2 linked regions of the Medicago truncatula genome follow. The protein of the gene in region 1 interacts with the protein of each later gene in a pairwise test. Links are inferred from orthologs where the notes say so. Each region holds a gene or a part of one and is shown on either strand. Other genes may lie near its edges. The genes, in order: protein ACCUMULATION AND REPLICATION OF CHLOROPLASTS 6, chloroplastic; cell division protein FtsZ homolog 2-1, chloroplastic.

Region 1 (12,152 bases):
TCTCAGTTACCAATATCCCTACATACTTACACATGAAAAGGCCACCCTGCCCATTTATGCACATATATATAATATATGATCCATCCCATGCAAGGGCTCATGTTATGTATACTTGACAAAATTCAACCTGACTTTGGTATCTAATCTGATATATCAGTTCAGTTTTACTGTAAAATGTTGACAAAATGAAAATCCAACACCCAATTTTTATCCGTGTGAGGGTATGGGAATGGAGAGGACTAAAACCCAATTAAAAAATACCATGTGGTAAGGAATATACTCGCGTCATCAAAATGATTTTTTAGAAACCACTAAACAGTTAACGATTCCCTACCAAACAAAAAACAAAAAATTCTCCTCCAACAAAGTTCTAATTCCACTTCTTCCTTTTCAACTTATGAAATGATTCATTCCCCTGCTGACACAACTAAAAAAACATAGCCTAAATGGTATCCCGTTGTACCAAATTGGGATTCAATGAAAAGGAAAAACAATAGACCCGCATAAATAATTGCACAAGAGGTCAAGGATGAAACAAACACGACACATGATTGCACAATTGCCATATTTAACAAGACTGTAGAAGAAAAATACATTATCGGTGCATTGATCATATTCACACTAAATTTTAGAAGAGTGTAATTAGTAATTCCCATCTCCATTTTAAAGGACCAACTAAATTCCTTACCTCTTGCAATCTTCCTAGGCAATGGTCAGGTCCAAAAGCTTGGGATTTGATATATTGCCACTTGCGGACTAGAGCTTCTGCAACCATTGCACTCATTTTTGGTAGTTGCTCTCCTAATTCTTCATCTCCTACAGGACCTGTACAGTTGAATCTGTTATGTATACAATAAGCAACTATTGCCAGAAGCTTACATCATGAACTTACAGAAACCTAATTTCACATCTCTGATAATAGAATCCATCTCACGAGTAAGAAAATATCTGTACTAGTACTTCAGTGGTTGTAGATGATTCAAAAAGACCATACCTAAATTGATAGTATCTGACGCAATTGCTGAACCAGTCACTTTGTGAAGAACGGGCGAGCCATTTTTAGAAGGTAAAATCTTCAAACCAGCTAAAGTTATGAGTCCAATTGCTACACCAGCACACATGATCTTCACACTTGCATTTTTTATTTCATCAGTAATAAAGTTTCCATCATTTATCTCAGCAGTATTTTTTATTCCAGAAACCTCAACATTGACCGGAGGATTCTGATCTGATAATCTAAGGGGATCCTCATTTTCAGAAAGGCTGGAATGATCCTTCTCACCATTTACTTCATATGTCAATATTTTATTATCAGACCGAACAGGAAACACCCTCTTTAATGCTTTTATTACACTAGCCTGGACATGGCCAATAACAGCAGTAGCCTCAGCTCCAATTTTTGCTATAGCTGCTGCAGCAGCCAGGGGTGAATGACCAGCACCCTCCAGCCTCTCTAGATATCTTAGCACTGTGGGGTCATCATAGTAATCTCCAAGCTTAAAGTTTGTCTCTTTAGTATCTCTAAACCTAGGGAAAACCACCTCCATCAACCATGTCTCCAACAATTTACAGAGTCCAGGAAGATCACTGTCTTCATCACCTTTTGCGTTTTCCATAATAAAGTCTATAATAGATGGGTTTCGATAAGGTGAGCTGTCACTATCGAGACCCAACCATGATCGACATTGATCAAGCTCCCCAACAAGCAGTGCACACAGACCCCTTTCTAATGCAAAATCAACTTCTCTCTTCTCCATCTCCATGGGAGTATAAACAGAGGGAGCATTCCTCATATTTGTTACCTTAGTTTGTTGAAGTTGATGGAATAAATTATCAGCATCTTGGATAAGATGTGGCTTTTTACCTACAAAGGCTTGTGCAACCAATGCAAGTGCAACCCCATAGGCCTCAAAACTTTCAGCTGGAATATTGCTAGGTGTTGCTACAAAAAGTTCGACCTTAAAAAAAAAGATTGGAGATAAAAAGAATTAATGAAAGAGATAAATGTAAAACCTTCATAAACAAAAACTAAGGGGGGCGGAAGAAAATTAAAATAAAAAACATGCACAATATATTCTATGAACACCTGTTCGGCAGCTTTCATATGCAGGAATGCCTCATTCATGAAATCCTCACGTGTGAAACTCCCAGCAATTGCTGCTGCTCCTCCACCTCCAACTGCCCACAGAATGTTGCGGACACCTTGGAGACCTTCTTCTCTCCGCGCTCGATGTTCATCATCAAGAGGCAAGGCTAAAAGTTCTAATACACAACGTGGGGTTATCTCTTCAAGTGTCTCATCAATTTGTGTTTGTAAATCCGGTGCTAGGCTGCTTGCCCCTTCTTCCTACATGATCAAGTGAGTCATCAGAAAGCATATTGCACCAGAACTGCAATTTGAGTCTTCAAGCTATACACATTGTTTTAATGCACATTATATACATGCAAAAATAATATTGTGTAGATTTTGGAAATGCAACAGTAGTAAAGTTTAAAAGGAATACTATACTTGACAAATATACAAAATTTCACCCAAGTACTTATTACTTCCACATCCATAATACAACAACAGCACCATATCAATTTTGTGGCAATAGTGATAAGTAAGAAGATTACATCAATATTAGGAAAGCTAAGTACAATAATGACATGAAAGATTACACAAAATTGTAAACGAGTCCTGCTAACAAGTAATCCACGGACATTCATTAAACATTATAAAATGTTTAATAAAAAATATACAACATACATATATGGCCTAATACATTGCAAGCTTAAAAGAAATGATTTTGTAAAAGTTGCATGGGTAATTAAGATTGGTTGAATAACTGGGTAGATTATTACTTTTTACATTGAACCATCATCAATAGTTATACTTTTTCTTTATTTTTGTACTCAGTTCGGTAACAAATCTTTATACTAGATAGTATGGCTCCACTAAAAAAAAGCTATATGTTTGTCTAATCAGTGCAATTTCTGAATACTTCAAATTGCAAAAAGGGGCACTGGCTATGTTCTATGTCTACGGGGTATTATTCTACTACTCGTAGAGTCAAGTATGGATAACCTTGTCTGCAAATACTTATCAAAATTAAAATATTAAGAGTTGTATAATAGCAATCAATTTTCAAACAATTGTTTCTCATACAAGTTGAAATTAGCCTATACATTTCAAAATTTCTCAAAAATCTCTCATTTAACTTGTCTACAATCAATCAATTATCTAAAACCATATAATGGTATTTTCTTATCCTAGAAGCTAAATCCAGACAGGCATCACTGTAAGTAAATTACATTATTATAGGCCTGAAAACTAGGTATTATCTCTCACCTGCAAAAGTTTCAATGCCCTTTCCAGCATCTCACAAGCAACAATGAAATCTGGCGGGGACAAAGCCATAGCATCCCTAGAAACGTCAACATATGCAAGCGCCATAGCCAACACAACATCTTGCTTAAACATCTTCGGTAACCTCTCTCTCAGTAAACCCCCTCCAATCCGAAGCACCAACTCCGTCTCTCCAGCTTCTTGCAACACGCACAGAGCTCCAGGAACCTACAAAACACAAAAATAAAAAGAATCATTGCATTAACATTAACAAATAGTCGCTCTGTCTCGTTATAATTGTCTCATTTGCAATATTTTTCTATCCCAAAATAATAGTCACTTTAGAACACTAATGAAACATTAACTATTTTTTCCCCACTAATTTAACCTTATTAATTGTATCTTATTTCTTCTAGATACTCCACATTAATAAGGATTGTTTAGTGAATGAAACTCATTTTATCATTGAAATCAACACACACAATAAATCATTTTCTTTTGAAGCGGAGCTCAAATGTGACACTCAAGGTATGTTTGCCAAGACACATTTCTGAGTTTATAGCTTATGTCTGATTGAAAAAGACAATTGTCATTTTGTCGCGAGCTTATAACTTAGTTTTACTAGCTTAAAGTTTCTTTATAAGCTAACTCAAGTAGTTTATAACTTACCATTTTCTCTCTCAATTTTACCCTTATAATCTAAATTGAAAAAAATTATATATTAATTAAATATATATATTTTTCATGTCATTTCATATATATAAGCTAGTTTAACCGCTAAGTTTACAAACACTACAAATTCAATCATCTAGCTTATCTTCCATAAGCTCATCCACTATAAGCTGCTTATCAACTATTCACTGTTTTTGCAAAACATTGTCTTAAACTAATTTTTTGTATCTTATACTTCTAACTACACTACTCCACTAATAAAAGTGTTTTAGTAAATGAAACTCATATTATCATTGCAATTAACACAATTAATCATTTTTTAATGAAGCAAAACTCAAATGTGAATTGAATTGAATGAAATTGAAAGCTTACTTTGTCGAAAGGGATTTCAGTGAGAATGGAAGATTCCTCATCTTCGTCTTCATCGTCGACGAGGCTTTGATTATACTCTCTTCTAGAAGCAGGATCAGCTAGGGTTTCACAAGCAGCTTGAAGAATCTGACGACGACTAATCAAAGCTTCATTACTGAAAGCATACTGAGGAGGCTTCGAGAATTTCGCTTCATAAGCTCTCCGAATACCATCACCGAGAAAATGCGTTTCGGCGCCGAGGATTTTGTACAGGTCGAGAGGGAGTGACACGTGGCGTTCTATCGGAGGAGGGTAAGAAGGAGTGAGAGTGACTGTGGCGGAGGTGGTGGTGGAGGAGGAAGAGGAGGTGTCGCCGAGGAATTGGAAATCGGAAATGAGTCGCTCCGCCCATTTACTGGTGGCGGAGACGGCGGAGGAATGGAGACGGTTAGGTTTTTTGGAGAAGCGTGTGAGACGGCGAGAAGTGGAGAGGCTGACGCCGATGGTTACGCCGGTTACCACCGCAGCATCCATAGCTTAAAACTTTGAACTTTTGTTAAAACCCTTTCTTCTCCCTCTCTCTCCTCTAGTTATGTTCTATCCAACGTGTAATAAAATAATCTTGTTTGTGACCATAGAAGTTAGGAAGTGAAACTCAAGGGTTCAAATCCAAACTTGTTTTATTCAAATCCATATTTAAATCCAAATGAAAATATTTAGATAAAGATGTCTACCCTTCGGCCACTATTATAAATAAAATTTTGTGTTTTAGATTCATTCATTAAATTATGCATGTGGTGTATAATAAAGACAATGTACATCATTAATTAAATGAATCTAAAATACAAAGTTTTACTTATAATAGTTACCGGAGGGTGTACGATGTAGTAGTATGGATATTATATGTTCTCATAAATTTAGTTCAGTTAGTTGCTATGAATAATACAAAATTTATATAAGGTTCGGTGTTTAAACCCGACCAGAAAAAAAAAAAAAAAAAAACATCGGTATTATTTAGGGTAACACATTATATTGAAGATTTATCATGTAGTAGTATTAGTATTGTCGGTTGATCCATGTCTTACAATTTTTTCTTTTTTTAAGACTATAAGTTTTTCATACAAATTACTTATTGATCCATGTCTTACAAATTACTTTATTTTATTTGTAGGAATGAATAAATGTTTTCTTATACGTTAACGAATTATGTTTTTCTTTTCTTCGTATTATAAATTAATCAACGTATGAGACGTTCACGATCGAGACATCTTATTTGTGTGTGTAAATTTTAAGTAGTATTTACAGCTATTTATAGATGGAATAAAAAAAATTAACAAGATGAGACATTTTCGAAATAGACAAAATTAGCTAAGCATATATATAATAGTTTTACAACACATGACAAGAGAATGAAAGATTGTTAAAGATGAAAGTTTGCCATTCTCTTCCTTAGTTGCTCTCATTCTCTCTTGTGTTGTCCGTCTGAAAATGTGATTTGAACTTGTATTTATAAAGTTTTGGAAAGTGGAAATTCGCTTAGCATATTGCAACTTCCTAAGTGAATTGGCCTTTCTTCAAAGTGAAATCTTTGCCATCTCAAAAATGGTATGTTAAGACACCTTAAGTTTGTTAAGCGAATTTTCACCTGTTTAGTGAATTTGCATTGTTTTTTCTACCAACTTTCTCACTTGTTCTCTTCTAACTCGTTACTAACTCACTTATTGATTTTGACAAATCCTCTAGGTGGATTGCATCTGCTTAGCCATTTTTATTTTTCATTTTTTTTCTTTTTAAATTGATCTTGATCCATTCTTTTTAGGGTTAAATAATATTTTCCCCTTCCATTTCCAATGCTATTTGGGCGAGTTTTTATTTACTTCTAAAAAAAAATTAGATTCCCCATTGTCATGCTAAGTTTCTATAAAAAAATAAAAAACTCTGATGTAGGTCTCACCACCTTATATAAAATCTGTTGTACTCACATAGATTTTATCAAATAAAAGTTTGAATGTTAGAGAGAGTATTAGAGAGTATCATAAAATTTCTCTTGTTACAAATTGATTTTTAAAAAAGATGCATTTCGGAAAATATATAACCATTAAACCACAAGGCTGTATCAAATACATTGGCTCATTGATGCACATCTTTTTTATTCATTTTGTGAGATGCAATTCATCTTGATATTAATGTAGATGAATCTTCTTGTGATACAAGTCATAATGAACTTTATGATAGTAGTTAGTAGTCAAAATATTCTTACACATGTGATATAACACATAAGCATGATACACATGGTAAAATAATATGATGGTTGAATTATTCAGTTAAATAATGTTTATTCAACGCGATGCAAGTATAAGAGTGTCAAACTTCAAAATACACAAATAAATTATCAATAAAAAAGATAATGAAATAATTTAAGATTGACCAGGGTTTCACAAGAACCATAACCCTGTCTACGGATCACTCCCACCACGGTTAATCGAAACTTAACTTTAGTTCGATTCGATTATTCGTAAAGTTCAAACAGTTCGGTTCAATTTTTCAAACCGTTGAAATGGTTTAGTTTAATTCGAATTGATTTTCTTCAAAACCAAATCATGTCCTCCCTTATTTCTATTTGGACACTAATATATATATATATATATATATATATATATATATATATATATATATGTTAGGCTAGACTACATGTTCAAATATAATAAGGTCCTAAACTACGAAGAAATATAGTATCGGTTTAATCGTTGAATTTTCATGAAAAACAACAAATATTGTTGATGGATTAAATATTAAAATTAAAATGAGAGAATATTTGTAAGTACAATTTAGTTGATTTAAATAGTTTAGCGAATAAATCGACGAGATAACTATAATGTAGGGTGGCATTTAGCATGGAAAAGGAAAAGAGTTTCCCACCATGGGAAAGCTAATTTTGACCATTAGATTAAATAAAGAACACAGTTTTATCATAGACCATCAACACCAAAAAATTTCTCTATCCTCCATGACTTATCCAACCACCACCAGCTGTCTTTATTGAAAATTCTGAACAACCATGACTACCATTCCAGGAGCTTGTATCACACATTTCTACCACATATCATCCTTTGGTATTTCTTTAGTGGGTTAATGTAAATATGGGTCGGATTATGGAGCTGAGGTTTGACCAAAGTCTTAGGAATGCATTGGTGTCTTTTACTCACTAAAATTTTGCTATCTACATGATCCTGCTAAAACTATGTCGAGAAAAGCTTGAAATTGATTTCATGTCATGAATTACTTAAAAGAGAAAGAGTAAATTAAATTAGCTTTTAAAACATCAGATTTAGAGATGAAAGTGATTCCACCGTGGGGAAAGATTTAAAGATGTGAAAATTGACTTAAAGATTTAGAGCGAGAGTAAATGTGGAAGAAGGTATAATGGGGTGGTGGGTGCAAGGAGGAAGATGAGATGTAGAGGGTGGATGGTTGGATTTGGTGTTGATGGTCTATGATAAAGTTGTGTTCTCTAGTTAATCTGATGGTCAAAATTAGTTTTCCCATGGTGGGAAACTCTTTCCCTTTTCCATGTTAAATGCCACCATAATGTAGACCATATTCACCGTAATAGGAGGATATTACTAAAATACCATCACCCCGCGTTCTCATCTTTCTCAGTTGTGATTTGCGAGTCGCGAGCTTCCCTCTTCCTCTCTTTCCGGCGTTCCCTCGTAGTCTCTCAGGTTTGTGTGCAATTTCTTCACTGTTTTCATCTTTATATGATAATTTTGGGGGAAGCTTTTATAAGTTGTATTCTATGTTCTAGGTGAAAATTGATTGGTTCATAGTAATATGATAGAAATTCTTCAGTGTCTTTGTTACTGTAAAAAATATGATAGCATTTCAAAATAAGCATTGAATTTGGATGAGAACTGTGAATTTCAATTAACAGATGCTGTTGCTAGAAATCAGACTGTAAAATTGTGTTAGGGCTTGTTTGGGATTTTTTTTTTTGTTGAGAAAAAACTATTTTTTTAACCCATAAATTACTTTTATTATTTTAGTAGTGTGTGTTTGTGTTAAAAAAAGCATTTTTAACCTTAAAATAAAAAAGCCATTCCTAGTAGTAGCTTTTCTAGAAACAAGGAACTTGAATGTAAGATTCTCTAAACAAATCTGTAGATTTTTTTAAACCAAACAAACGTACCATTAGTTTACTGCTTAGAAAAATGATTTAGTGTTGCGTTAAAATTGATTGGAGCTTACATTTTATCTTCTGTCTGTGGTATGATAAGTCTGCATAATCTAACTTGTGCGGTTCTTAAAGATATTAGAAAAAAATGGCATTTTAGTTGGTACTTACTGCTCCTGCAATATTTTGTTTTGATCTAATACTTATTGTACATATTTGAAGTAGAAAGCAACATCAATGGATTCACAGGGCCAGACAACTTCATTGCAACGACTTGAGAATGTGGAAAAGGTAATAATATTTTCAAGCATCATCGCATGAGTGACACAACTTTCCACTCATACTTGGTTTTTTTTTTTTTTTTTGTAGAGAATTGCTTAATATTTGCTTGATTTTTGTGTTTTTATAGAGAATTGTGAAGGTTTTGGAGCTTGCAGGAGGAGTGATGGACGAGCTTGCAAGCCCAGTTGGTCCTAGAAAAGATCTTGTCCAAAATCACTGTCTTGAATTCATGCAATTAATTAAGGTAATCCTTGCTTTGTCTTTCAATAATTCACTTTTTATTACAAGATTACACTGGTATATAACTATAGATTCAAGTGGTTCCATTTCAATAATTAACATCATATAACGATTAACACCAAAATTATTGTGTAACAACTATTGGAAATTCTGCCTTCATTGCATTCCGCCTCTAGTCGCCTAATTGCGGCCATTGGGTTGCCTTCATCGCACCCTCCAACACCTCATTGTGTTGGCCATTGGGTTTGAAGGGGTGGATATAGTCCCACATCACTTAGAGATATGAACTGTATGTTTATAAAGCATGGGTAGCCCTCAACTTACAAGTCGGTTTTGTAAGGATGAGTTAGTTAGTCCCACATCACTTAGAGATATGACCTGTGTGTTTATAAAGCGTGGGTAACCCTCACCTTACAAGCAGATTTTGTAAGGATAAGTTAGGCCCCAATATAAACCGGCTTGTGAGGTGAGGATTGCCCCCACTTATAAACACTTATTCATGCCATCTCTCAAGTCTCAACCGATGTACGTAGACATTTCAATATATAAGCTATGCTTGGCCTCCATTCCCCTTTTTTGTGGTGATTCCCATAACCCTTTCATTTGTATGCAACATACTTTATTTATTATAATTGACTTCTTTCAACCGCAATGCAGTTTCCACCATTTTCCCGTGACACTATTTGCTATTTCACATAACTGATTTTGGCATTGCACTTTCCGCAATCTGCTATTGATTACATTATATACAAGTATTTCTTTTATCACAATCTCACATTGATCTTACTCAGAAACACAATCTTGATCAGAGTATGTGAGTAGGATTGCAAGATCATACGATTTTGCGATTTAAATTGTGATCTTGATAACCTTGATCACAATTCTATCTGTTGATTTTCAATTACAATTAATGGTCATATATCCGCTTTATCCTCTTTTTAGGTATCAAATCTGAAAAAACTTGATAGAACATTCATAGATATCTCTTATCACAGCATTCCTTCAAATTTGTATAATTGAGTTCAAGATTTGACTATTGGCACTTAAACAATGGTTTATCATTAAAATTGTCCTGTTTCTCCATGGTGTGTATTTTCAAGCTTTGTTTTCACAGCTGTGATAAAACACACTCCTTTGTAAGTTTGGTTGTGATAAACACACTTCTTTGTAAGTTTGGTATTTGAATCCTGAGAAATCTAATGTTCATTACGTTCATAATGTTCTTATTCAAATTTAAAATCAATATTGAAATTACCCAAGACAGAATGTGCCATAGTACTGCTCAAACAACACTAGTTATGCGATGGAAAGAAAATTGAACATCAAATTCAACAGATCCAAATTAAAGATATGAAATGAAGTCCCATTTCTATAAAAAAAATAGTTTACCTTGGATCCAAACAACCAAGTACATGTTTGGGTAATTGGTGCAAACTACAGAGGGTCTTCTGAGTGCATTGTATTTGGAATAACTACCTCTAGAAGAATTATTTGTGTTTGAAAATGTTTAGTATATTTCACAATAATGAGTTCTGTCCTGTTAGTTATTGGAGTATATACGTGTGCGTGTGTGTGTGTGGTTTTCGATGACATGGTTTCAGTTTCTCCCTAATTGCTAACAGGTTTAGTTATTCAGGGTTAAATAGTGAAAATGATACTGCGAATTTGTGATCAATGTAATCTGTTCTTATTTTGGTTCATCATTATGAATTTGATATTCAAACCCTACTATAATGTTGTAATATTCTTTAGCCTTCATTTTCTTTTTATTTTTTGTAGGACATCCAAGTGGCGTTGCGTGATGAAATCAAAAGTGCTTGTGAATATCGTCCATTTGAAAAGTGTGATTATGGCCCAAGAATAGCAAATGAGATATGTTTCAAAAAGGTGGAATATGTCATGTCACAATTGGAGGCAATGAAACAAACTATAGATGAGCATAATGCAGCAGCCTGAAAATTTTGCTCCTTAAATTATCCTATTAAGCTGTTGATTTTGAAAATTCAATCAGTAATTTAGAGTTTTTGCAGCGCTGCAAGCGACTCAAGTTGCCCTCAACAAGGAGAGCGACTTATTTATGTATTTATTTGCATTGTACACTAAACATGTAAAAGACAGATTATGAAGCACTGGATTTAGTATTCATGATTAGTCACATACTCAAATAAATATTCTTAGCTATCTATGTTTAAGATTAAAGACATTTGAGAAACTCAATGGTGGCCATAGTGCAGTAGCAACTATTTGACTGAAATCCATTAGAACTTCCAATAATATAAACTCTGCTCAAGTTAACAAAACTCTACTCATAAGCACCTTTTTAGGCACGGAAATTAAACTGGTAGGAACATGTCATCAAAGTTGAAAAAACCAGGATTAAAAATGGCGTGTTTGCATTGCTGTTGATTCTGAAATTTTCATATATGGGACAAACACTTCGAATTAAACTCGCAACAACTTTTAATTACAACGTGTATCACTATTCACTATTATCAGCATGTATATAAATATCCTAAACTATTCACTATTATCAGCATGTATATAAATATCCTAAACTTTCATCTTATTTGAGATTTCAAAATTTGTTACTTTAGCATCTTGACATTTTGTCTGCATTATTATCAGCATCTTATATGACAATAGCAACCAATACTGTCAAATAAAAGCTATATTGTTGTTTGTTATCATATTCCCTCCGTCCCAAATTATAAGCAAAAAAAAAAAAAATCACTTATTAAGAAAACTAAAACATAAGAATTTGAAGTAATAATTTTTTGTGTTTTCTTTGGAAAAAGTTTTAAAGGAAGATGTAAATACAATTTTCATTGGCTATTGATTAAGAGAAAAATGAAAGAGATAGAAAATTGAATGTAATTTGCATTTAATTTTATGAGAATAAACAAAAGTTTTGCTTGAAAAAGAAAAAACAAGATTAAATAGGATAAAAGTTTGTCTTTTTTGCTTATATTTTGGGACAAAGAAAATGAGTTTTTTTTTGCTTATATTGTGGGACGGATGGAGTACATATGACAATAATAAAGGAAAACAAATGATAGACATAGCTAAAGATAAATTTACAATTTCTAAGACATTAATCAATGAACA
Region 2 (11,900 bases), on another chromosome or scaffold:
GTCAACAAGCCTCAAAACACACAAGTTTGGAAAGTTCTTAGCTTTCATGGACAACAAGGATCTAAAATTGCTATAAAGGGCAAAAACGGGAATCTAGCTAGACCAATGTTTAACTCTACCCCTAATATTGATGCAGTGGTAAAGAAATACAAGGAATTAAAGAAGTTGGGGGAAAAGAGTATTAAGCTCTTGGATAGCGTAAGCGCCCTTTCTTCTTTAAGAATTCTGGGATTTCAACCAAACTACCATCAGTGAAAGTGGAAGATCGCCGACTGACAACGGTATCTCCTTGTGTGAGTTGATTGGCCTGCATTTTTGACAAAAACCACAATTATGGGTATGACATCATAGAGGGGGGAGGGTTAGGGGGCTAAGACATACCTGTACGGGTCTCGCTTCACTTTCCTCTTGACGCTTGAATCCAGTAGCAATCAATGTTATGCTCACCTATATGAAACCAAATGACATGGTTCACCATAGGTATACAATATACAAAAATTTAACTAATGAAAGTGCTCGTTGAGTTAACTTTTTTCATGGAATTGCACAGAAGATAGATTGTGAGTGAGAATATATAGTTACTTCTAGAACAAATTTTACATGAAACTGACTTTTCCTCAATTACACACACTTCCCTTCTATTTCGTAACAATAGAGGAGGTGTGTTTGTCATTTAAACAAACCCGACGAGAGGTGGGTGCAATTTTTCCGAACAAAAAATGGTGTTCAGTGTTTGTTTAAAAATAAAAAGAGTATAAGAGGAACCAGCCGGAAGCTAGATTTCTTTGACAAAAGTAACACAACAGAAAGAGATGATCCGGTTAAAGAATTTAGAACTTTTGTATCTAGGATTGAGTGCAGAAAATCTACTGTTTCTTGGCACACTACACCAGGGTAATGTTGCCTAATTCATTTCAGGAAAAATATTTACATAACATAGAGAAGTTCATATTCATATTTCATACAAATAACATTTAAGGGTTTACATAGTTTAACTTACCTGACCACTAAGTGATGGATCTATTACTGCTCCAAATATTAAATTGGCAGTGGGGTCTACAAGGTCGTATATAACTTCTGCTGCGGCATTTACCTGTACATAATAAAGGACCATCTTAGATACAAGAGTATGATGAATTTAATATAGAGCAGATCATGACGCAGACAGTTAGTCAGAGTTCAGAATAAAAAGTTTGTTCATTATATTTCGTTGTTCACAGCATGGATGCCAAAGCATGCTTTAAAGTTTAAACAACCATCCACTTCAAAACTCATGTTTATAAATAGCTCACAGGAAAAGCAAGATAACAGTGCTATATTAATTGGACTTGGACTAGAGGACAGAGGAATTTTTTTTTACAAAAACAAATTATATACACCAGTGTGTTTGTTTCCAAGTAATTGAGAAAAGAAAATACATCCCTGCCTGGCTGGCTGGTAATGATATTAAAGGAATATATAGTGATAGAACCAGGAGACCAAGTCAGTTAAAATAAACTTTTGGTTAACATTTAAAATTATTGGGATTTTTTTTTTAAATTCCTAAAAATAACTAGAATTTTTATATGGTTTTCCATGCATATTCTCATAAATATATGTTATAATTCTCGAAATGCCCCCTATTAGATATATGTTAGTTTCTTCTGTTCGAATGTAATTTGCATGCTGTTGTAAGGGGGGAAATCTAACTTAATTCAGTGCATGTTGCTCCTGACCACTTCCCATGATCCTTAGATCATCTAAATTTTGAATCAACAGAGGGAGAATAAACTTGTAAAAAAAAAGGAGAGAGAAACATCCTGTGAACGGAACTAAAGATGTAACTAACAAATATTTAACAAAGGATAAATCTGTAAGGGTCAGAGGGGTAGCCAGCTACCTCAAACAAGGTCAGATCACTTCCACCAGTTATGTTCCATACAATTCCAGTGGCCCTCTCTATACCAATATCTAGTAAGGGCGACTGGATAGCATTTAATGCAGCATCTCTTGCCCTCGTTTTCCCTTCAATACAAAAAGAAGCTAGAGATAAATTTCAATGATACATGTAACCATGGACAATAATAATGTGCTCATCAGTTCTGACTAAGCAAAGGGTAATACATTCATATTTTAGTCAGGTAACAGAAAGTGACGTAAAAATGTGAAATTTTCTGATTGAAGAACATTAAAGCATATTCACCATCAACATGTGTGCATCTCCATGAATTTTGAAGTGTGCATGACTCATGAGAGTTAATTTTGCAACCTTTAAATTGTTTTGTTTGGATTTCTTATGTCAAAGAATAATTTCATTGCAATGCCAGCTATCCTCTAAAACAACTTTGGCCGTAAAAACCTTCAGTTATAGACATGCACACCATATGATATGCGAATATAACATTTGGTAGTCCTATATAATTTGAGTATTACACCAAAATCTACATGTATTATGTAAGCGAACTATAGGTTTCAGAAATATTATTTGGGTCAAATAGAAGATCTGGACTCAGGAGCAGTATTGCAACCCCAACAGCAGTTTGCATACATACCAGTTGCAGTTCCTATCCCCATAAGTGAAGAACCTGCATTAGCCATTATAGCTCTAACATCGGCAAAGTCGACATTCACCAACCCGGGTATCTGCATTTAAATAACAAAATTCACAGGCATTTATAATTCAAAAAAAGACACCTTCAGCTTTGAGCCATGGGGAAAGTATTATCAGGACATCTTATTATGTTGTTTTATCAAAACGCATCTAAAACTGATAACAAAAAATATATCAATTTAGTTAATACATAAACTAATGGTAACACAATTTTGAACGAACATAATAAAAAAACTCAACAACCAAATGTGGATCAGGGGACTACCGGATATGTCAAAACTCAAAATAAATAAAGATGCAATTAGGGTTCCCTCTCTTTCATCCTTTTACTAGTATACAATCAGAATTTAACGTGAAAAAACTAAACAAAGCGACAACAGAGAGGTATCAGTTCATGTCCAAAGAAATTTATGATTCCATACCGTAATAATATCAGAAATGCCACGAACACCTTGTCGAAGAATATCATCAGCCAGATTGAATGCTTCAGTTACAGGGGTAGACTGAGAAACTGCAGTAAGCAACTTGTCATTTGGAATAACTATCAGGGTATCAACATTGTCTCTTAAGGCTGCAATTCCTTCTTGTGCTTGAACTGCCCTCCGCCGTCCTTCAAACGAGAAAGGGGTTGTGACAATACCAACAGTTAGTATACCCATTGACTTTGTGATACCAGCAATAACTGGGGCTGCACCAGTACCAGTTCCTCCACCCATTCCAGCCTACATAAATAAGTTTTGATTTTCAAATTTATCAAAATATACCAACGAATAACAATTTGGAACCGCAGCCGTGTCTATTCCCAATTCTGAAAAATCCACAAAGGCATTGACTAAAAAAAAATCATACAGACTAGAATTTCATACACATTTCAATAATTCGTCTTCTAAAACCCATAAGGAATATCACATAAAACTAATTTAAAAATGCACAGGTTTCATAAAAAAATTATATTATAGTCTAATAAACTATATTTTGAACTTCAGTCCATCACAGTATTGGAAATTGCAAATCTCTTCCATTTTACAAAAAAGCATAATTTTGATAATTTAAAGTGACATCCTAGGGAAATGATATTTCGATAGCAGATTTAGATAAGTTGACAATCTAAGTGTAGTCATCTGTCATGAAATATACTCTTTTGAGTTTCGACAAATAAACAAGTGAAGGAGAAAGTGCCTTTTAGCACAAAACGAGCTTCCAATTGAAGTGGAGATGCCAGCAACCTAGTTGTATGGGGATTGATGTATACGTCATTTTATAATTTTTACATAACGTTTTTTTTTTGGTCAAGTAGCCACTGCCTAGTGGCTATAAATTCTCTTTTTAAGGAGAATAAGTGGGGCGTCCGGGGTTCAAACCCTGGCCCCTGCATATATTAGGCAATGTCCCTACCAACTGAGCAAAGCTCACGGGGACACAAAGTTATTATATTACTATGAGCGAAGTTGTTGTATATTGTAAGGAGTTGAATCAATTTTTATACATTAGAATTCTCATACATAAGCATGCGCCTGGGTTGATTTCATTTAAGTGAAGAAGTTTGGACTGACAGATATCCTGATACTAATGATATTTTTGTTTTGACAGTACAAACTTTTGCTTCACCCCCTATTAAGTACCCCCCTCAACAAAAAATCCATCAGTCTAGTATTATTTAAGACTGAACATTGAAATGAAAGAGATAAAAAGCCTAACTTATAGTAGTTCAGAATAATCTTGAATTCTAACATTTTGAAGAAATGCAACAGTACAGAACAAAAAAATGATTGACATGAATGGACAGATAAACAATGCATGATAAAGTATAAAGCTATGATAACTCAGATCAAACACTTGAATACTACCACAGAAAAGGCACGTAGAAAAGAGCACAGCTTCACAATGAGCCAAATAGATAACCCCTTTATGGAATACTGAGGCCTATTTCTCCTCACACTACACAATAGATTACCACGCCCATTCTTTCCTACCAATCATGTATTACTATTTACTCTATTCTACTGAGTCCTAAATTGACGGAAAAAATTACTTCAGTATTATAAGAAAGCGTATAAATCATGTCAACGCATGGTAATGTTCAGAAGTATGCAGTATACTAAATATATAATTCATAATGTAAAACTGTAATGCAGAACAGCCATAATGGAAGGAAAGTGGTTGAACATACAGTAACAAAGACCATATCAGCTCCATAAACCGCCTCTTGTATCGAATCTTTACTTTCTTTAGCAGCATTCATACCAATCTCCGGGTTGCCACCAGCACCAAGACCTCGTGTAAGCTCTTGACCAATTGGCAACCGGTTCTCAGAATTGACAGGCGACATTCTCATAGCCTGAACATCAGTATTAACAATCCAAAACTCCACACCATTCATGGAACTCTCAATCATACGATTCACAGCATTCGATCCACCACCACCCACACCAATAACCTTAATCTTCGCTTCATTATAATTACTCGGAGTCAAATTGTCTTCCAACCCTTCCATCACATCACCACCGGACGTATCCTTTCTCGGACGCGTAGAGTTGTTTAATCCACTGCTTCCTTCTCCTCTAAGCATTGAAATCTCAGGATGAAGATCCAAAAAAGGGTCTTTGCTATGATGATAAGGACTGACACTGTGCGAATTCGGTAACCCTGTCGACTTCACTTGAAACAAACCACACTTTCTGTTGTTAACGCTAGAAAATGCAAACTTATTTTCGTGAATTTTGACGAAACATGATTTGTTAATGTGATGATTTTCTAACAGTTTTCTTCCTCCATTAACAGCGAGTACCCCTGCTGAATTTCTTGAATTCGTAGGTGCAAAACAAGAAGCCATTCTTACAGTATCCAAACTCATAAGTGGTAATTAATGTGTGAATTTAGAAAAATCAGAAATTCAAAGTGTGGAGGATGCAATTCGGTTGCAGTAGTACCTGTTAATGAAAATAATAATAATAATAATAATTGAGATATTATTTAGGGTAAGACAAATATAATTAAGTAACTACAGTAAGGTGTAACTGGTAGAGAGTAAAGCGAATTAATTGTACTGATAATGATAAAAGTGAATGAAATGCAGAGAATTGAAGAAGCGTGGTGCGAATTGATAAGTGAGAAGTAAAAGTGGTAAAGAATTGAGAAGAGAAGAAAAACCTGAGGAATGGATTGAAGATGATGTATTGGGAAAGCGAGAGTAACATTCGAGTGAGTGAGTGAGTGAGTGATTGATGGTGGAACCAAAGAAAAAGAGGGTTTTGTTATTTCACAACAAACACGGTCTATTTTCTTAGCTGTCCATTGTTCTTGATAACGAAATGAAAATGTGGGGTGACTCACGTTCTTTTCTTTCATTTTTATTTTATTTTTATCATTCACGAACTCGTAAATATTCTCTTAAACTTACACTATATACAATCGACGTTCGTTACATCAAATAAAATGTGAATAACTCTTATCTTTTCTTTTTTGAAACGAAACAAAGAGCGTTTTGTATTCTTTCGGTGCTTGAGACAATTTTGTCTTCTCAATATTATATTACTATAGGTATGAAATTGACTATAAAATGACTAAATTTTGAGATTTGTCTTAATTTTGATGAAGACATGTTATTAATTTCTCTTAAGAATATGTGAGACATAAAAAGTGAGTTTTGTCTTTCTAATAAAATATTTTCATATACAAGATTTTGAGATCGAATACATTACCAATTATTTAAATGGATCAAATATTTTACTATTTAAATCAATTCATTGCATTGGTAATTCACCTCAACTTTTTTTGCATAAAAAAACAATACTATGTAGTATTTGTGAATATATTTTACATATTAATGGTGTCATAATATTATATTCTTGTGTATATTTTTTTTATACCAACAAAACATTTGTGAAATTGCTTTTTTTCTTTTTAGTCTACCATATATTTGAACCTCTATAGGAGATAAATACCTTAAATAAAATAAGTTTCTTTCTTTTTTAAATGTATTGTATTTAAAAATAAAAAACTTTGAAGGTTTTATATGTATTACTTTTTTTTTCTTCAAATAGTTTAGTAGCTATAAATTTACATCTTAAAATGAATAAATAAAATGCTCAGAGACTCATGCATATATTATGCAATGTCTCTACAAACCAAGTTAAGCTCTCAAAGAAGTTGCATAACCTTTTATCTATTAAACTTATTATTATGATCAACTTTTTATAACCTCATAATAACTCCATTACTTTTTTCCCTTTCTTTTTTCTGTTTTACATATGTTCTTTCAGAGAAATTAATCTTATTCAAAGTGTATCAAAAACTAAATATAAACATTGGTAGGAGTCTAACATATTTTTCTAGACAACTTTGGTTGGTAATAACTTCTCGACTTTATTTTACATGTTAATAAGGAATGATTAGATGCAAATTTTTAAAAGTCAAAATGATACAAATAGATTTTTTGAGAATCAACTTATGTATATACTTTTTTTTGTTTCTCGTAGATTTTCTCGACTAGAAATAATTTTCTCCACGGTATGTGGATACATCTCTTAGTCGCAATTCAAACATTTGTTATGGAGTGTCAACAGCCGTGAAGTGATTATTATGAGATTCGTTATGGAGTGTCATCTAATCATACGATGATGAAAGATTCGAAGAAAAAAACCTCAAATTGAGGGAGGATATAAAATCATGAAAATTATGAAACAAGGAGACCAATGACCCGATTTTAGAAATACATAGATTAAAATTTTAATTTAGGCAAAATAGAGAGACCAAAAATACATTTAAGTCTTTATAGTACTACACTTATCTTGCTATATAAATGTTTTCAAACTTCCCTAAAAAAATGATGTCAGACTTGAAAATTAGTCGAGTGATTGACTAAGAGTTCTTAACTTCTCAGTTGTGATTCACTTTTAAATTTCAAATGGCTACGACAAATGAATGAATTATGTCTTTCAGCTGTGAGTTGCGAAATTTCTCCAAAGAGTGTTAAGAATTGTGTTTTTTTTTTTTGCGAGGTACTAAACTAATGATGCACAAGCAGAAAGATAAAGAATAAAAATTGCAAAAAATAACTTGTTTGATTGACTATGTGCGTCTGAGTAATTTGCACAGTGTGGCACATATAGACAAAGTTAGTCCTGATGGCGAAAACATTGCGACCTATAAAATTTAACCACAATTGACTCTTTTCCAGTTTCTGCACGATTCTTCATGTTGTTGGGTGTACGTGGTACCGTACGTTGGCTAATTCCCCCGTATCTTGCGACATTTCCATTTCCCTTTATCCATGCATGTGTTATGGACTTAGATCATGCCTCTTTAAAGATATTTGTTTTGATTAATGACTCTATAACCATGGAACACACACAAAATGTTGAATAGTCAAGTTCCACGCGCCTTTGACCTGTCATGACATTTAAAAAGCATATGTGAACCGCATTGAACTTTGGAAAGATTCACATGTCTCATATTCACACACTTTTGATTAAATTTTATGAGATTCGACTAAACCTTAATTTAGCTAAACCTTATGTCACACCATTTACCACACGTGTTTGTTATGTAGATTTTTTATTTTTTTTTTTCAAAAATGAAGGATAAATGCCACATATAACTAAAGTTTTAAATTGGATCTATGTTACATTAGCAAAAATGCTATAACTTATAATCAAATTTGGGTCAACGATTTTGAAATTCCGCAAACCAAATACCCATGAAGCCTCCTATCACATGAACTACACGAATATTTCCCCTGATTGGACTTGTAATACCAATGGGGAGATTATCGCTTAAATCAGTATATTCCTTCATCATGAATAAAATCACACCCGAGATCAACGTTTCTAAGTTGTTTTAGTCGATTTGGACGATCCGCTTGTTTCTTTGGAAGCTGGCCTATTGGAGGCTTTTGATGAATGAATTAAGGTACAAGATGCATATCTTTGATAAGGATAACCGTCCTGAGATTTCGCTTAACCCTATAGTAACCGCAGAGGATCCAATCCTATATTAAGTAGATTTGGGCGATTTTACATGCTATAAACCCACCCAATATATATATATGTTATAAACTCTGGCAAGATATTTCACATATATCATATATTTCAGAGGTATTTCGAGATATCTGATTTGTTATTTTTTTGCTGTGTTTTAATTCATTTCTTCTTCCTAGCACGTGACATCATAGCACACGTTTTGAAGACCCACCCAATTTAACTTTCCACACAGCCAAATTTTCCCTTCGTCTGAGGAGAGAGCCGCTTCTTCTTCTTCTTCCAGCTCTCTCTCCCTCCCCGTCTCTCTCCCTCCCTCTCTCTCTCTCTCTCTCTCTCTCTCTCTCTCTGATCGATTTCAATTTTTCTTTGCCGACCCTTTAATCATCCAAGTAAGCCCCTTCTAACTGTTATCTTTCGTCTAATCTTTTCCACTTTCATTTTAATTATTCAATTCAATGCTAACTTCACATCCTCTGCATAAAAAATTGGTAAAATTCTCATCTTTTTAATGACCCAGATACTATTTCACTCACATGATCTCCTTCCCCTGTCATTTCATTGATAAAGTTATGATTTTTACTCAATTAATTCATTATTGTTATATTTTTTTGGTAGGTTTTGATATACCAGACTGTTTCTGATTGATATTTTGGTTGGTTCTGTTACCTTTTGTTATTATGCAATGGATTGGAGACCCTTCATGTTGAAGTGATTGGTATCATACTATCACTTTCTATTACTTTGTATAATCTCATTCTCATGCTATTTCAATGATAAAGTTCCAATTTTTTATTTTTTAATTGAGAAAATTTTGAAGCACTGTTAGTATTAAAAAAAATAAAAATTCACCATCATTCAATCACAAATCATCATGACTTTTAAGTTAGAATATGATGAAAGTCAAACTTTTTTGATGATCGAACTGTTATAACGATTGAATCGTTATGATTAATTGAAAGTGTGAAAAGTCTTTACACTATCCCGGACCCTGCGTAAGCTGGAGTTTATTTTAATTTGTTTTTGTCATGTTTTGATGAATTATACTGTTTTTGATTGAAATACAGGTTCTGTTAAATTATTTTATGCTATGGAGGATCTTCCTGTTGAAGTGGTTGGTATCATATTATCCCATCTTGGGTCTGCTAGGGATGTTCTGATTGCATCCTTAACTTGCAAGAAATGGAGAGAAGCTTGGCAGACTCACCTCCAAACTCTTTCATTCAATACATCTGACTGGCCCCTATATCGCGAAATTTGCTCTAGTCACTTGGAAATGCTCATCACTTGTACACTTTTTCAAACCAAAGGATTGCAGTGCTTAACAATTTTCATGGACGACGAGCATGAGTTTTCTGTTACCCCTGTCATTGCCTGGCTTATGTATACGAGGGATTCATTGCGCGAGCTACGTTATAATGTGAGGACATCCCCTAATTTCAATATCATTGAGAAATGCAGCAGGAAAACATTGGAAGTTTTGACCCTGGCTAGCAATCCTATCTCGGGTGTTGAGCCGAAGTATCATAAATTTCCTTGCTTAAAGTCGCTGTCGTTGAGTTTTGTTAGCATCTCAGCGTTGGATTTGAGTCTTCTTCTTTCTGCCTGTCCGAAACTTGAAACCTTGTCTATCGTTTGTCCAGAAATCGCTATGTCAGATTCAGAGGCTTCAATAGAGCTTAGCAGCTCTTCTTTGAAGGATTTCTTTGTCGAGTCATATAGTTTTGATAAACTCATATTAGTGGCGGATATGCTCGAGAATCTGCATCTGAAAGATTGTTCCTTTGATGCTTTTGAATTGATCAATAAGGGGACATTGAAAGTATTGAAGCTTGATGATGTGAGTGTCATCCATCTTGACATTGGAGATAATACAGAAAACCTTGAGATCGTAGATGTGTGTAACTTCATATTTATGTGGCAAAATTTTTATAATATGATCTCAAAAGCGTCAAAGTTAAAAAAGCTTCGGCTGTGGAGTGTTGTTTTTGACGACGAGGATGAAGTTGTTGATATAGAGACCATTTCTGTTTGTTTTCCTAGATTGACGCACCTTTCCTTAAGTTATGATTTGAAAGATGGAGTGCTTCATTATGGCTTGCAAGGGTTGTCTTTTCTGATGAATGTGGTTGTGTTAGAACTTGGATGGACTACAATCAGTGATCTTTTCTCAGTTTGGGTAGCTGGACTTTTGGAAGGATGTCCTAATCTAAAAAAAATGGTCATTTATGGCTATGTTGCTGAGATCAAAACACATGAAGAGTGTCAAACTTTTACCAAATTCACTGAATTCATGATTCAACTAGGAAGAAAATATAGTCATATAAAGTTTGAGTTTGAATATGAGTAGGAGGTTCAGCCACATGCATTCATTGCCGTCAAAGTATTGGTTTGATCTCATCCGGCGAGACAGACAAGAAGGTACTTTCATGTTCCATGATTTTCTTGTGTCGTTTTCCTCAAGTAGCACAAGCATTGCTCAGGTGTAAAGTAAGAGATTCTTTGTAATGTAGAGATCTCTGTTTTTTTGTTTCGTTGTTGTTGTTGTTGTTTATCTTTAACTTCTACCCCTCGATCTATATTTCGAAATACCAATATAACACCATTGCAACCTAAGGATTTAAATTGGGGTCGCGTTGTGGTCCTAAATATTGTGGAGGATCTTAATCAAACAGTTTGGTTCAACCTTAATTGCATTTGATTTACAATTGTGGAGACATCAAAGTAGCTATGCTAAATATTGTGGATGATCATAGATAGTCAAATAGTTTGATTCGACCTTGCTTCGACATTAATTGCAGTCACTTTACGATTGTGGAGACAAAATTATGATGTTGCAGTCTAAATTGCGGTGTTCGTCATTTTTTAAAATCCTTCCACAATCCTTCATTTTATAGTTTATTCCGTGTCAAAGAAAAAGGGGGGCTGGGGCTTATGAGCTGTTGATATTCACGTTGCTTTTTACTGCTTCACTATACCAATAACATATATGTGATAACCTTTATAATAGAGGAATTTAATGCTAAAAAAGTTTAGGGGGAGGAATGAGGATTGAATCCATTTTAAGTAAATATTGAAGAAAAAGTTCAGTTATGATGAGTTTTGGAGACTCACCCAGGGACAAAAAGAAAGTCTTAAAAGGTTCAAAAAACGCTTATGGAGTATTAACTTACGTTTTATCTATCAATGACGTCCATCGACATTGAAACTTAAACTCACTCGCTATAAGTGTGTATTTGGTTTCTCTTCCAAAGGTGCCAATTAATTGACATGTTTAATTGTTTTGGAGTATAGTTGATTTTGCTTCCAGAATTTATTCTATTTGAAGTTGA

What was found.
Region 2: the proteins of protein ACCUMULATION AND REPLICATION OF CHLOROPLASTS 6, chloroplastic (region 1) and cell division protein FtsZ homolog 2-1, chloroplastic interact in a two-hybrid assay, tested with the Arabidopsis thaliana proteins (3 studies listed by BioGRID, with this or other methods). The link is inferred for Medicago truncatula from reciprocal best matches to the Arabidopsis thaliana genes ARC6 and FTSZ2-1.

Annotation. Positions count from the first base shown.
Region 1 is NC_053042.1:7,527,109-7,539,260, forward strand, and holds the start of protein ACCUMULATION AND REPLICATION OF CHLOROPLASTS 6, chloroplastic, read right to left. Parts: upstream 5,000-12,152; 5' UTR 4,886-4,999; coding exon 4,373-4,885; intron 3,557-4,372; coding exon 3,332-3,556; intron 2,348-3,331; coding exon 2,087-2,347; intron 1,959-2,086; coding exon 995-1,958; intron 826-994; coding exon 689-825; intron 1-688. Other genes in the region: mediator of RNA polymerase II transcription subunit 11, read left to right, coding at 8,763-8,816, 8,935-9,051, 10,827-11,003. UniProt on the Arabidopsis thaliana protein: Component of the plastid division machinery consisting in a binary fission accomplished by the simultaneous constriction of the FtsZ ring on the stromal side of the inner envelope membrane, and the ARC5 ring on the cytosolic side of the outer envelope membrane.
Region 2 is NC_053048.1:49,366,394-49,378,293, reverse strand, and holds the start of cell division protein FtsZ homolog 2-1, chloroplastic, read right to left. Parts: upstream 5,913-11,900; 5' UTR 5,741-5,912; intron 5,521-5,740; 5' UTR 5,445-5,520; coding exon 4,761-5,444; intron 3,313-4,760; coding exon 3,013-3,312; intron 2,623-3,012; coding exon 2,532-2,622; intron 2,005-2,531; coding exon 1,880-2,004; intron 1,094-1,879; coding exon 1,001-1,093; intron 448-1,000; coding exon 382-447; intron 308-381; coding exon 182-307; 3' UTR 1-181. Other genes in the region: F-box/LRR-repeat protein At1g67190, read left to right, coding at 9,659-10,918. UniProt on the Arabidopsis thaliana protein: Exhibits GTPase activity which converts GTP ligands to GDP.